Linked DNA regions of Sus scrofa. The protein of the gene in region 3 interacts with the protein of the main gene of each other region in a biochemical or structural test. Links are inferred from orthologs where the notes say so. Each region holds a gene or a part of one and is shown on either strand. Other genes may lie near its edges. The genes, in order: NAE1, CUL1 and UBE2M.

Evidence for each region.
Region 1: of the proteins of UBE2M (region 3) and NAE1, one has a biochemical effect on the other in vitro, tested with the Homo sapiens proteins (4 studies listed by BioGRID, with this or other methods). The link is inferred for Sus scrofa from reciprocal best matches to the Homo sapiens genes UBE2M and NAE1.
Region 2: of the proteins of UBE2M (region 3) and CUL1, one has a biochemical effect on the other in vitro, tested with the Homo sapiens proteins (7 studies listed by BioGRID). The link is inferred for Sus scrofa from reciprocal best matches to the Homo sapiens genes UBE2M and CUL1.

What each region holds. Positions count from the first base shown.
Region 1 is NC_010448.4:27,516,115-27,519,764, reverse strand, and holds part of NAE1 (NEDD8-activating enzyme E1 regulatory subunit), read left to right. Parts: intron 1-529; coding exon 530-616; intron 617-1,094; coding exon 1,095-1,187; intron 1,188-3,650. UniProt on the Homo sapiens protein: Regulatory subunit of the dimeric UBA3-NAE1 E1 enzyme. E1 activates NEDD8 by first adenylating its C-terminal glycine residue with ATP, thereafter linking this residue to the side chain of the catalytic cysteine, yielding a NEDD8-UBA3 thioester and free AMP.
Region 2 is NC_010451.4:109,503,591-109,507,240, forward strand, and holds part of CUL1 (cullin-1), read right to left. Parts: intron 2,826-3,650; coding exon 2,651-2,825; intron 89-2,650; coding exon 1-88. UniProt on the Homo sapiens protein: Core component of multiple cullin-RING-based SCF (SKP1-CUL1-F-box protein) E3 ubiquitin-protein ligase complexes, which mediate the ubiquitination of proteins involved in cell cycle progression, signal transduction and transcription.
Region 3 is NC_010448.4:63,105,710-63,109,390, reverse strand, and holds the start of UBE2M (NEDD8-conjugating enzyme Ubc12), read left to right. Parts: upstream 1-775; 5' UTR 776-1,211; coding exon 1,212-1,320; intron 1,321-2,442; coding exon 2,443-2,537; intron 2,538-2,645; coding exon 2,646-2,684; intron 2,685-2,796; coding exon 2,797-2,900; intron 2,901-3,193; coding exon 3,194-3,257; intron 3,258-3,341; coding exon 3,342-3,482; 3' UTR 3,483-3,681.

The DNA.
Region 1 (3,650 bases), about 36 Mb from region 3:
AGGCAAAAAAAAAAAAAAGAATATATCTCCACTTTACAAATGAAAACAGGCTCAGAGTGGCTCAGAGTGGTACCATCATCTACTTCTTCAGTGCTGAACTGGTTGTAGTGTCAAGGACATGGATTTAAGATGACTTGTGTTCAAAGCCTTCTCTGCTAACCATTAGAACCAAATAGAAGACACTTATTCATATTTCCCTGTCTGTAAAGACATACATAAAAGTTCCGCTCCCGTGGCATATGGAGGATCCCAGGCTAGGGGTCTAATTGGAGCCGTAGCCACCAGCCTACACCAGAGCCACAGCAACTCGAGATCTGCGACCCACACCACAGCTCATGGCAACACTGGATCCTTAGCCCACTGAGCAAGGCCAGGGATTGAACCCACAACCTCATGGTTCCTAGTTGGATTCATTAACCACTGTGCCACGATGGGAACTCCCAAAAGTTCCTGTTCTTTAAGTGATTTGTGATTCAGGATATTTATGTGTCTTGACCATTTACTTCCATAATGTCTTTCCTGTATTCAGGCAGCAATTCCGCATTTCTTCGAGTGGTAAGATGTCGGTCCTTAGCTGAAGAATATGGCTTGGATACAGTTAACAAGGATGAAATTAGTAAGTAATAACCTTTTGATGCTAGGTTAGTAATTAATTTTAAGGGTGTAAATATTTTGTGTATAATTGAATGGTGATAATATAAAGGATAATGTAAATACTTATACTGTGATTTTTATTCTATAAACCAATCCAAGTGGTCATCATTTCAAAATATGAAACTTAATATATACATAAAATCATATTTAGGTCATTAAGTTGTGTGATATGTAGAAGAGCTAAAGTCAGCATGTTACTACTTTAGTAAAGATTTTATGACCATAGCTAATAGTTCAGAAGGCCATTGGGTTTCATCTTAGTAATTTTTCTCCCTTTGTTTTACTGTTATTTATCATTTTCTATTTTACCATCACAACATATTTAAATTTTGTGATAGAATTGCCTTGTATTCTAAAACCTGAGTATATAGTAAATTCAGTCATTTTGTTTTTATGTCATGAATTATCCAGATGCTACTGAGATTCTTTTTTCCTTTCAGTTTCCAGCATGGACAATCCAGATAGTGAGATAGTATTATACTTAATGTTACGGGCTGTTGATAGATTTCATAAACAGCATGGTAGATACCCAGGTAAGAAAAGCAATACACTTATCAAATACAATAAAATCGTAAATAAATACTTGAATGGAATGAAATCTTAAAGTGTTCTTAAGGTGTTTACGGTAGTGATGCTTGAATTCATGCTGTAGTCAATTTACTACCTGGTTCATCTCAGTGAGGCAATACTATTTGTTTCATTTCTTTTTTTTCCACTTTTTTTTTTTTTTTTAAACTGTCTGTGTTTTAAGTGTAGCCAGTTGCAAATATTTTTTAATTCTGAACTGTTACAGAGTTCAGAAATGTTGGTTGAATGTGTGTAGAATAAAGCCTTTTTTCCTGTCAGCTTCTACAGTTTTCTTCCAAGACTCACACTGAGTTTGATTTAGTGGAGTGGAAGAGCATAGGAAGTATGCCAGTGAGTTATGAACTGAGAACTCCAAAGATGTTTCTTTGCTTATTATCTGTTTTTTGTTATCTGTAAATGTGGTAATTGGGGACTTGGCGTATGTTCAAAGATCTTCAGTTGCCTAGAATGTCTTTATTAAGATGATAATTTTTTTTTTTTTTTTCTTTTTTAGGGCACACCCGTGACATATGGAGGTTCCCAGGCTAGAGGTCTAATCAGAGCTGTAGCTGCCAGCCTACGCCAGAGCCACAGCAACGCAAGAGCTGAGCCACATCTGCGACCTACACCACAGCTCACAGCAACACCGGATCCTTAACCCACAGAACAAGGCCAGGATCGAACCCAAAACCTCATGGTTCCTAGTCAGATTCGTTAACCATTGAGCCACGATGGGGACTCCCTAAGGTGATAGTTTTAATTGTTCAGATTGTTGTATATCAGGACATTCTAGCTGTATCATAAAACCTCTTGCCCTGAGTTCCTGTCATGGCTCAGCAGGTTAAGAACCTGACTAGCATCCATGAGGATTCAGGTTCACTCCCTGGTCTCATTCAGTGGGTTAAGGATCTGGTGTTGCTGCAAGCTTCAGTGTAGGCTGCAGATGCAGCTCGGATCTGGTGTTGCTGCGGCTGTGGTATAGACAGGCAGCTCTATCTCCCGATTCGACCCCTAGTCTGGGAACTTCTACATGCTGCAAATGTGGTCCTAAAAAATAAAAAAATTAAAAAATGAAACCTGTTGCCTAAACTGATGTAGTATACCCACTGAGTTATAATTTTTTTTTTTTTTGTCTTTTTACTATTTCTTTGGGCCGCTCCAGGGCATATGGAGGTTCCCGGGCTAGGGATCGAATCGGAGCTGTAGCCACCGGCCTACGCCAGAGCCACAGCAATGCGGGATCCGAGCCGTGTCTGCAACCTATACCACAGCTCACGGCAACGCCGGATCGTTAACCCACTGAGCAAGGGCAGGGACCGAACCCGAAACCTCATGGTTCCTAGTCGGATTCGTTAACCACTGCGCCACGACGGGAACCTCTGAGTTATAATCTTAATGAGCAAGCTTACCAGAAAAAGGAAAAGGAATAAATACCAAATATATGTTGCTTTATTTGTTTTGTTTGGTGAAGGTGTATTTTTGGTTATCTCTTACATAGCAAACCACCCCCAAACTTAGTAGTTTAGAACAATCAATTATTCTGTCTTGTGTGTGGATTGGCTGGGTTCTGTTAGGCAGTTCTCATGGGGGGAAAGGGATCTCATGGAATGACCTGTGGCTGGAGTCATTCTGAAAGCTTGACTGAGATAGACATCCAAGAAAGCATACTCACATGTGTGGCACTTTAGTTGGGATATCTGCAGCTGCTGGCATCTCTTCATATGGTCAGCTGAGGCTTCCTTTCTAGCCTGGCAGTCCTAGATTTCTTACATAGTAGCTGCCTTCCCCAGAGTTAACATTCCAAAGACCCAGGTGGAAGGTACAAGGCTTTTTATGACTTGGCCTTGGAAGTCACACAGCAGCACTTATGCCATGTTCTGTTGGCTTCATAGGTCCACGTTAGACCTTAAGAGTGAAAGGGGATGGCACAGCATTGTAAATCAACTACACATTAATTTAGAAAAACAGTGAAAGGGACTACATGAGGGCATGAAGAGGTGTTCATGGTGGAGCCACCTTGGGAAATTAGCTGTTACATAGAACACAGGCTTTGGAATTAAACCTAGATTCAAATCCACATTCTATCAGTTGAATCTATTGATCTTTATTGAGTCACTATTTCCCTCCAAGTCTCAGTTCTTTCAGTATGATATGATGCTAATAGTATCTGCTCTATTCGATTTGTTTTTGTTTTGTTTTGTTTTTGTCTTTTCTAGGGCCGCACCTGTGGCATATGGAGGGTCCCAGGCTAGGGGTCTAATTGGAGCTGTAGCCGCCAGCCTATGCCACAGCCACAGCAATGCCAGATCCAAGCCACATCTGTGACCTACACCACAGCTCATGGCAATGCCAGATTCTTAACCCACTGAGCGAAGCCAGGGATCGAACCCGAAACCTCATGGTTCCTAGTTGGATTCGTTAACCACTGA
Region 2 (3,650 bases), on a different chromosome or scaffold from region 3:
CATTCAGCACTTTGCTTGAAAATCGGTAATCTTCCCACTGCTGAGTGTAGAACTTCAGTACACTCTCATCCATCAGATCTTCTCCGTCCTAAAAGCAAGAGAACTACAGCTTTAAGATGAAGAGCTTGTCATGTGATAAATTAAAGCTAAACATTCAATGAAACATCCACTGCAGTAACATACACCGAAGGGTATGGTTTTAGATGACTTCTTTAAATGATTCTGTACGGGCTCATTTCTATAAATTCTCCAAAGAATGTAGTTCATGAGAATTAGACTAAAGAGAAGTTTAACAAAAATTCTTTTATCTCAAACTGGAATTTTTCATGGTATTAAATATATAGATTAAAAAAAAAAAAGACTGACCCTTTAGAAGGTGAGGGTAATTCCTTTATATTAACAAGGAAATTACCTCAACCACCCTGATTTTTATTTTTTCTATTAAAAAATTTAAATCTCCAATAAACAACTGAGATCTTAGGGCGAAAACTATTCAATCTTTCAATGCATTTCTGCCTTCATTAAATTTACTTAAAAATTCTAAAAATCTAGAGCTTTTCATTGTAATCTCTTGCATTTTTGTAAAAATAACAATATACAGTATAATGGTACAAATGTTTCTCCTTTAACAAGTCCTCACAAGAAAAACATTCATTTACCAAAATTATTTTCACTGAATTTCTACAACCTAAACAGCAATTTTTTACTTGAAGAAAATGAACCTGAAGCTTCTTCTCAGGAATTAATGACATCTACAAAGTGAAGCCTTACCGTTCAAAAAGGGAGCATTAAATTGCACTGTCAGTAAAATGTGCTGGAGCAGAACACTCCAGGGGAACCTGGGAGGGAGAAGCTTCCTCCAGTGAACTAAGGGCCTGGGGCAGCCCCCAACTTCCCTCAGCCTCAGGGCCTTCAACTAGCAGAACAAAAAGCTCCACAGAACCGAAGGTCCATAAACACACAGTGTACAAGCGATCCAGTGAGCTCCATGAAAACCTGACCATACTTCATACAACCAAATTTTCGTTCATTTAAATTTAAATAAGAAATGAACCCCCACATGTAAAGCTAAGCTCTTCTGGATTATAGTATACGATCTTTTTAAATACAAAAATAGGGAGTTTCCGTTGTGGCGCAGTGGTTAACGAATCCGACTAGGAACCACGGTCCCTGCCCTTGCTCAGTGGGTTAACAACGATCCGGTGTTGCCGTGAGCTGTGGTGTAGGTTGCAGACGCGGCTCGGATCCCGAGTTGCTGTGGCTCTGGCGTAGGCTGGTGGCTACAGCTCCGATTCAACCCCTAGCCTGGGAACCTCCATATGCCGTGAGAGCGGCCCAAGAAATAGCAACAACAAAAAAAAAGACAATACAAAAATAGTATCACTGATAGCATGGCTATCAGTACCCAACATGGTATATCCCTCAGTTCCTCCTGTCTAATACTAAAGATAACTGGAGTTCCTGTCGTGGCTCAGCAGAAACAAATCTGACTAATATCCATGAGGAAACAGGTTCAATCCCTGGCCTCGCTCAGTGGATTAAGGATCTGGCTTTGCTGTGGCTGTGGGGTAGGCTGGCAGCTGTAGCTCCAATTTAACCCCTAGCCTGGGAACTTCCATATGCTGCGGGTGTAGCCCTAAAAAAAGACCAAAAAACAAAAAAACCCTAGAGATAATTGATTCCAGTGTCCACTTAACAAAGTGCTGTGACTCAAAGCAAGAAGGACACAGTGGCCTCAGCAAGGCATTACAAGCACACTGTTTAGAGAACGTGAAAATACTCTTGTTCCTAATTTGTAGTCAGTCAACTATTGTCTGTCAGGATGATGTTAGGTTTCTAGGTACCTTGCAAATATTAAGAAAAACAATTTTGGAGCATGCTGAAGCTGCCTGTTATCTATATAAATCAATAATCTTTAAAATATATACACAGAGAGTGCAGACTTCCCAGGGCAGAGTGCACAGATGTCTTCACACGCTCCACAGTGTGTATAGCACCAGGAAGAGCCACCTGCCCCTCCTGTGTTTAGATGGAAGGTACCACATTGCCTTTGCTACAGAGGATGGAGTCTGAGGAAGAAAAAGGCGGAAGATGAAGGGGAAGAACTCTATCACTGCCCGAGCAAAAGGAAGGAGTGAGCAGTGGCCCATCCTAGCCAAAGGCACAATCACACTGCAGTTCTGACCATACCACATGACCATGTGTAAAGACAAAACCACACCAGAAATGTGATTACCCAAATCTGAATCTTTGCAGTCATTTACATGTCTTGATGCAGAATAGCACGCTGGCTTCAAATTACAACATAGGTAATTTGAATTCATAATTACATGCTTTAAAAAGTTCACCAATATCTAACAGCCAAATACCAAGTGGTTAGTAATTTAAGGACAATACTATATGGCATAGGGCCATCAAAAACTTCCAATTTAACAAATTAAAGAACAGAATATGGCTTACGAAGATTTCATCTTCATAATAAGTAATTGACTAAGCAACAGCAAAGATCTTCAGGCACTTGTCAATGCCAAAATGCCAATGACAGTCAATGCCAAATGACAGTGAAAGACTATATTTAACTTAGAATCACTATTTCATTTTTTAAAAACATTCTATTATAAATGCTCAGTATATATGCAAAACTTCTTACCTTAAGAAGATTTGTCAAGTAATTCTTCAAAAATTCTTTAAGTCGTTTGTATAATTCCAAGCCAACAAACTGAGCTCCTCCAGGCGTCTGTCCTTTTTTTGATTTAGAAGGAGGGACACCAGCACCTCGTGCTTGGTTTGACTGGTGAACACTTGTGCAGTAGTTATAAACATGACTTGGAGAAAAGTCAAGGACATCAACATGTATCATCAATGTCCAACAGTGACTAATGTGACCCTAATTTTACAAGACATTTTAGTATCAATGTTTCCCATGTATCAGCATAAACCTGTTACGCTAGAGTGGAAAAAAGATCGCATTCACACCCCAATAAAGCTAAAACTCAGCCGGCTGAGGAGGAGGACAGAAAGTTCTGGAAGAAGACTGCCAAGAAAACTCTGGATCTCTAGATTACCTAATGCCATTACTTGTGGGAAACTGTCTCGGGAGAGAAGGTAAGAAAAGAACTGGCAAATGGTACAAAGGAAAGTTTGCAAATGAAAAGAAAAAAGCAATTATCTACTTCAGGAAAAACAAAAAGCTATAACCACAGTCTATTATAATGCTTAGCTATATGACTATTTCTAGAATCAAACATGACAAAAATAAACAAAACATGATTTTAAATCATTTGTAAATGAATTTTTTAAAAGTTACACTGAAAATGAAACATGAAAAGCGAGGACATGTCAGGGCAAGAGATCAAATCCTAGACTAGGGCAGAGAAGTCACGGAGGCCCGAAGCTGATGAATCACAAAAGCACACTGGCCACACACTATGGAGAGCAACAGAAATGTGCGTTCTATTTTGTTATAAACTTTAATACTATTTCAGTTTATCTGCATGTACTTTACGTAGACAAAAGTAACAGAAACACCAATACTGAATCAGAAAGAAAAATCATGACAAAGAATATTCTGGTATATTTAAGAACTTCCTATATAAAGACTATTTCAACTCGATAGATTACTGAATAAGTGGTATTAGGGCAGGAGGAGA
Region 3 (3,681 bases):
ATCCGGAAGTCGGTGAATCCTTCGGCGCTTCCTCCCGCCCCGCCCACCGAGGCACGTTGAACTGTGATTGGAGGGGAGGCTAGCCCCGCCCACAGCACGCACACCTCGAAAGGGCGTAGGGCGCCTCTGCCAAACAGGGGACACGCGCTGGGAGGCCGTGCCCCATGTTCCGTCTCCCGTGTAAATTTTCGCAGTGCTTGCTATTCTCTGCCACAGTACATGTTTTATTCGTTAGTTTACCTAAACCGGAGTCTCTGCGAGCGGGTTCTTCGGTTTGCAAGGGGACACGGAAGGTGCTGGACCCTGCACCCTCTAGGCCTTGCTCAGGCTCTGGCCCTGACCCTGCCTCAGCCTATGACCCGCAGGGGCAAGCACCTTGTTTGACCCACCTTCGCTGCCGTCCGCACGACTGCAGATGGGAATGGCTGGACCACAAATGAAGCGGCCCGCATCTGCCCCACTTAAAGACGGCCGCAGCACCGCCCCCTCCCTGGCTCCGCGGGCGTCCCCGGAAGTGACCACGGGACGGTCTGCACGGACGGAAATGCCCGAGCCTAGCCGAAGCAGCCCGATCCCCAGTCCCACCGAGAGGCAAGGCAGAGGGGCGGCGGCGGCGACGGCTGCTGCGCAGGCGCACAGAGCAGTTCGGGCGGGAAGAGCCGAGGCGGGCAGGCGGCGGAAATATCCGAAGCGGTGGGGCGCCCGAGGCCGTTGCAGACCTCCGCGCCGAAGCCGCCGCTGCCGCGGAAGCCGACACTCCTTCCGTACGCGGCCGCCTCCCCCGAGGCCCTCGCCTCCCCCCTTCCACCTCTAGCCGCAGACGCCCCTCGCGCAGGGAGCGAGGGAGCGCGCCAGCGGCGTAGCCAGAGAAGCCGGCGTCCCCGCAGCAGCTGGCCCTCAGGACACCGAAGTGGGCGAAGGGGAGGAGGGAGCGGCGGGTGGGGCGGGGCCGAGCGGGCCCGAGGACAGCCGAGCGGGCCCGAGCGCTGCCGAGCGAGCCCGAGGCGCCGGGCCAGGCCGGAGCCGACTACGGGAGCCGACGCGGGCCGCGCGGTGGGCGCGGAGCGGCGCGGCAGGCCGGGCGGGTGGCGGCAGCAGCCAAGAAGGCCGCGGCGGCGGGTCCGAGTGGCGGAGGCGGCGCGGGCGGCGGCGGGGGGCCGGGTGGCCGGGGTCCCGGGCCCCGCAGCGGCGGCAGCGGCGGCGGCGGCAGGATGATCAAGCTGTTCTCGCTGAAGCAGCAGAAGAAGGAGGAGGAGTCGGCGGGCGGCACCAAGGGCAGCAGCAAGAAGGCGTCGGCGGCGCAGTTGCGGATCCAGAAGGGTAGGAGGTCGGGGGATGAGGGTGGAGGTCGGAGGTCAGAGCCTGGGTGAGGGTGATGTGGTCGCCAGGGGGGTCAGAGATGTCGGAAATGGGGTTGCGGATGTGGGGATTGGAGATCGGGGCCCTGGGGGTGGGGGTTGGGGGTAATACAGTCATTGGAGGGGTCAGAGATGGGAGGCCTAGGATGGGGCGTTTAGGGAATTCCGAATGCCAGGCGTTTGATACTAGGAACCGGGAATCTGAGGGTCACGCAGTGGAGGGGGAGGACCAGGGATTCGAGAGTCTGGGGATCAGACGGGAACCTGGATGACAGGCAGAGGAGATACAGATAGCGGGGGCCGGGATTGAGGAATGGAGTGAGAGACAGTGTTTTATGCTGGAGCCATTAGGAATCAAGAGTCAGACGTGGTGAAGTAGGTTAGAGTCCTGGCATTCCTGGGTCAGGGGGCAGTCACATGGCAGTTTGGCTTTGGGGTGACACGAGGAGGAGAGGGATAGTGTGTGCCAGAGATTAGAGAAAGAGAAAGGTTGAGTTTAAACGATCACGCTGGAGATGCAGGTAATCTTATAGTCAGAGTGGTGTGGGTAGGAGGGCTGGGGACCCATAGATCTGAGGGTCAGGTGGGTACTTGGGTTTGGGATGACAAGCAGAGATGTAGATGAACGGTGGGGCTGGGGATTGGTGGAGGGAGTGATTTAGGGGGTGGGGAGGAATAAGTTCCTTGAGTGGGGACTCCTTTAGAAAGTGGAGGTTATGGCCAGGGATCCTGGGTGTGGGGTAGTCAGGGGCTTGATGGGGCATTTGGGAGTTGGGTTGGAGGGACCCAGGTGCTGGGACCTGGGACTTAGGGCTGTGGATTCAGAAACACTGGAGCTTACCCTAGGCAAGAAGCTCAGGTACAGCCACGATTAAACATGCAAGTTTGCAGTGTGTTCTGTAGATCCACAAGACCCTACCTGGGGATTGGGGAGCAGAAAGAGCAGGGAGGGGGTTGGGGATGTGGCCCACCGCCCAGGAGAGGCCCCTTCGAGCCCTGGCGGAGGCGGTGGGAGCTCTGCTGACGCCAGCCCCTTTTCTGAGCACCTTCCTTTCTATTTCCTTTCTCTGCTGTGTAAACCCAGACATAAACGAGCTGAATCTGCCCAAGACGTGTGACATCAGTTTTTCAGATCCAGACGACCTCCTCAACTTCAAGCTGGTTATCTGTCCTGATGAGGTGAGGGCACCCTTCACTGCGTTTCCTCAGGTGGGAATACCTGGTTCACCTGCCAGGCCCTGCAGGATGGGGTGATGGGGTCCTACTTCCTCTTCTCTTCCCTCACAGGGCTTCTACAAGAGCGGGAAGTTTGTGTTCAGTTTTAAGGTGAGTCCCAGGTGGACAGGGGTGGCTCCTTGGGCTGAGAAGGCAGCAGCGGAGGCTCCAGCCAGACACTGCTGGGGCATTATCCACCTCCCCTCTCTCTTCCTGGAGCCAGGTGGGCCAGGGTTACCCGCATGACCCCCCCAAGGTGAAGTGTGAGACGATGGTTTATCACCCCAACATTGACCTCGAGGGCAACGTCTGCCTCAACATCCTCAGGTGAGGGCACTAGCCCTCCGCTGCTCTCCAGCCCTGCCCGCCAGGCCCCCTTCATGGCCTTGCACTGCACCTGTCTCTGCCCCTTCACTCCCCCTTGTGGTCTCTGTCCCTGTCTCTTCATCTCCTCCTCATGGCTTGACCTTGGCTTTCTCCCTGGCCTGTCCTCTGCACCCTCCCACTAGCTTCTCACATTCACACTGTCCCATGCCCTGGGCTTGACCTGTCCAGTCCCAGCAGGGTCTGTGGCAGCTGCCCACTCACCAGCCCTTGACCATGATGCTGTCTGCCCACAGAGAGGACTGGAAGCCAGTCCTTACGATAAACTCCATAATTTATGGCCTGCAGTATCTCTTCTTGGTGAGTAGAGTTGGGGGCTGGGGCTGGGGAAGGTTGGCCCTCTGCTCCTTGGGCTTGTTGACCCCCCACCGCTGCTGGCCACAGGAGCCCAACCCTGAAGACCCACTGAACAAGGAGGCCGCCGAGGTCCTGCAGAACAACCGGAGGCTGTTTGAGCAGAACGTGCAGCGCTCCATGCGGGGTGGCTATATCGGCTCCACCTACTTCGAGCGCTGCCTGAAATAGGGTTGGCGCCTACCCACCCCTGCCGGGGTCACTAGCCCGGGCATCCCCTGCAGATATTTATTGGGGGCCACAGGTGGGGGGGGCATGGGAGAGCCGGTGGGGGAATCCCATGCCCTGGCCTGCCACCCCTCCCTGCCACCCGCTCCTAGTTTGTTTTTTTTTAAACCACCATGTGATTAAGGTCGGCACTGCCTCCCCC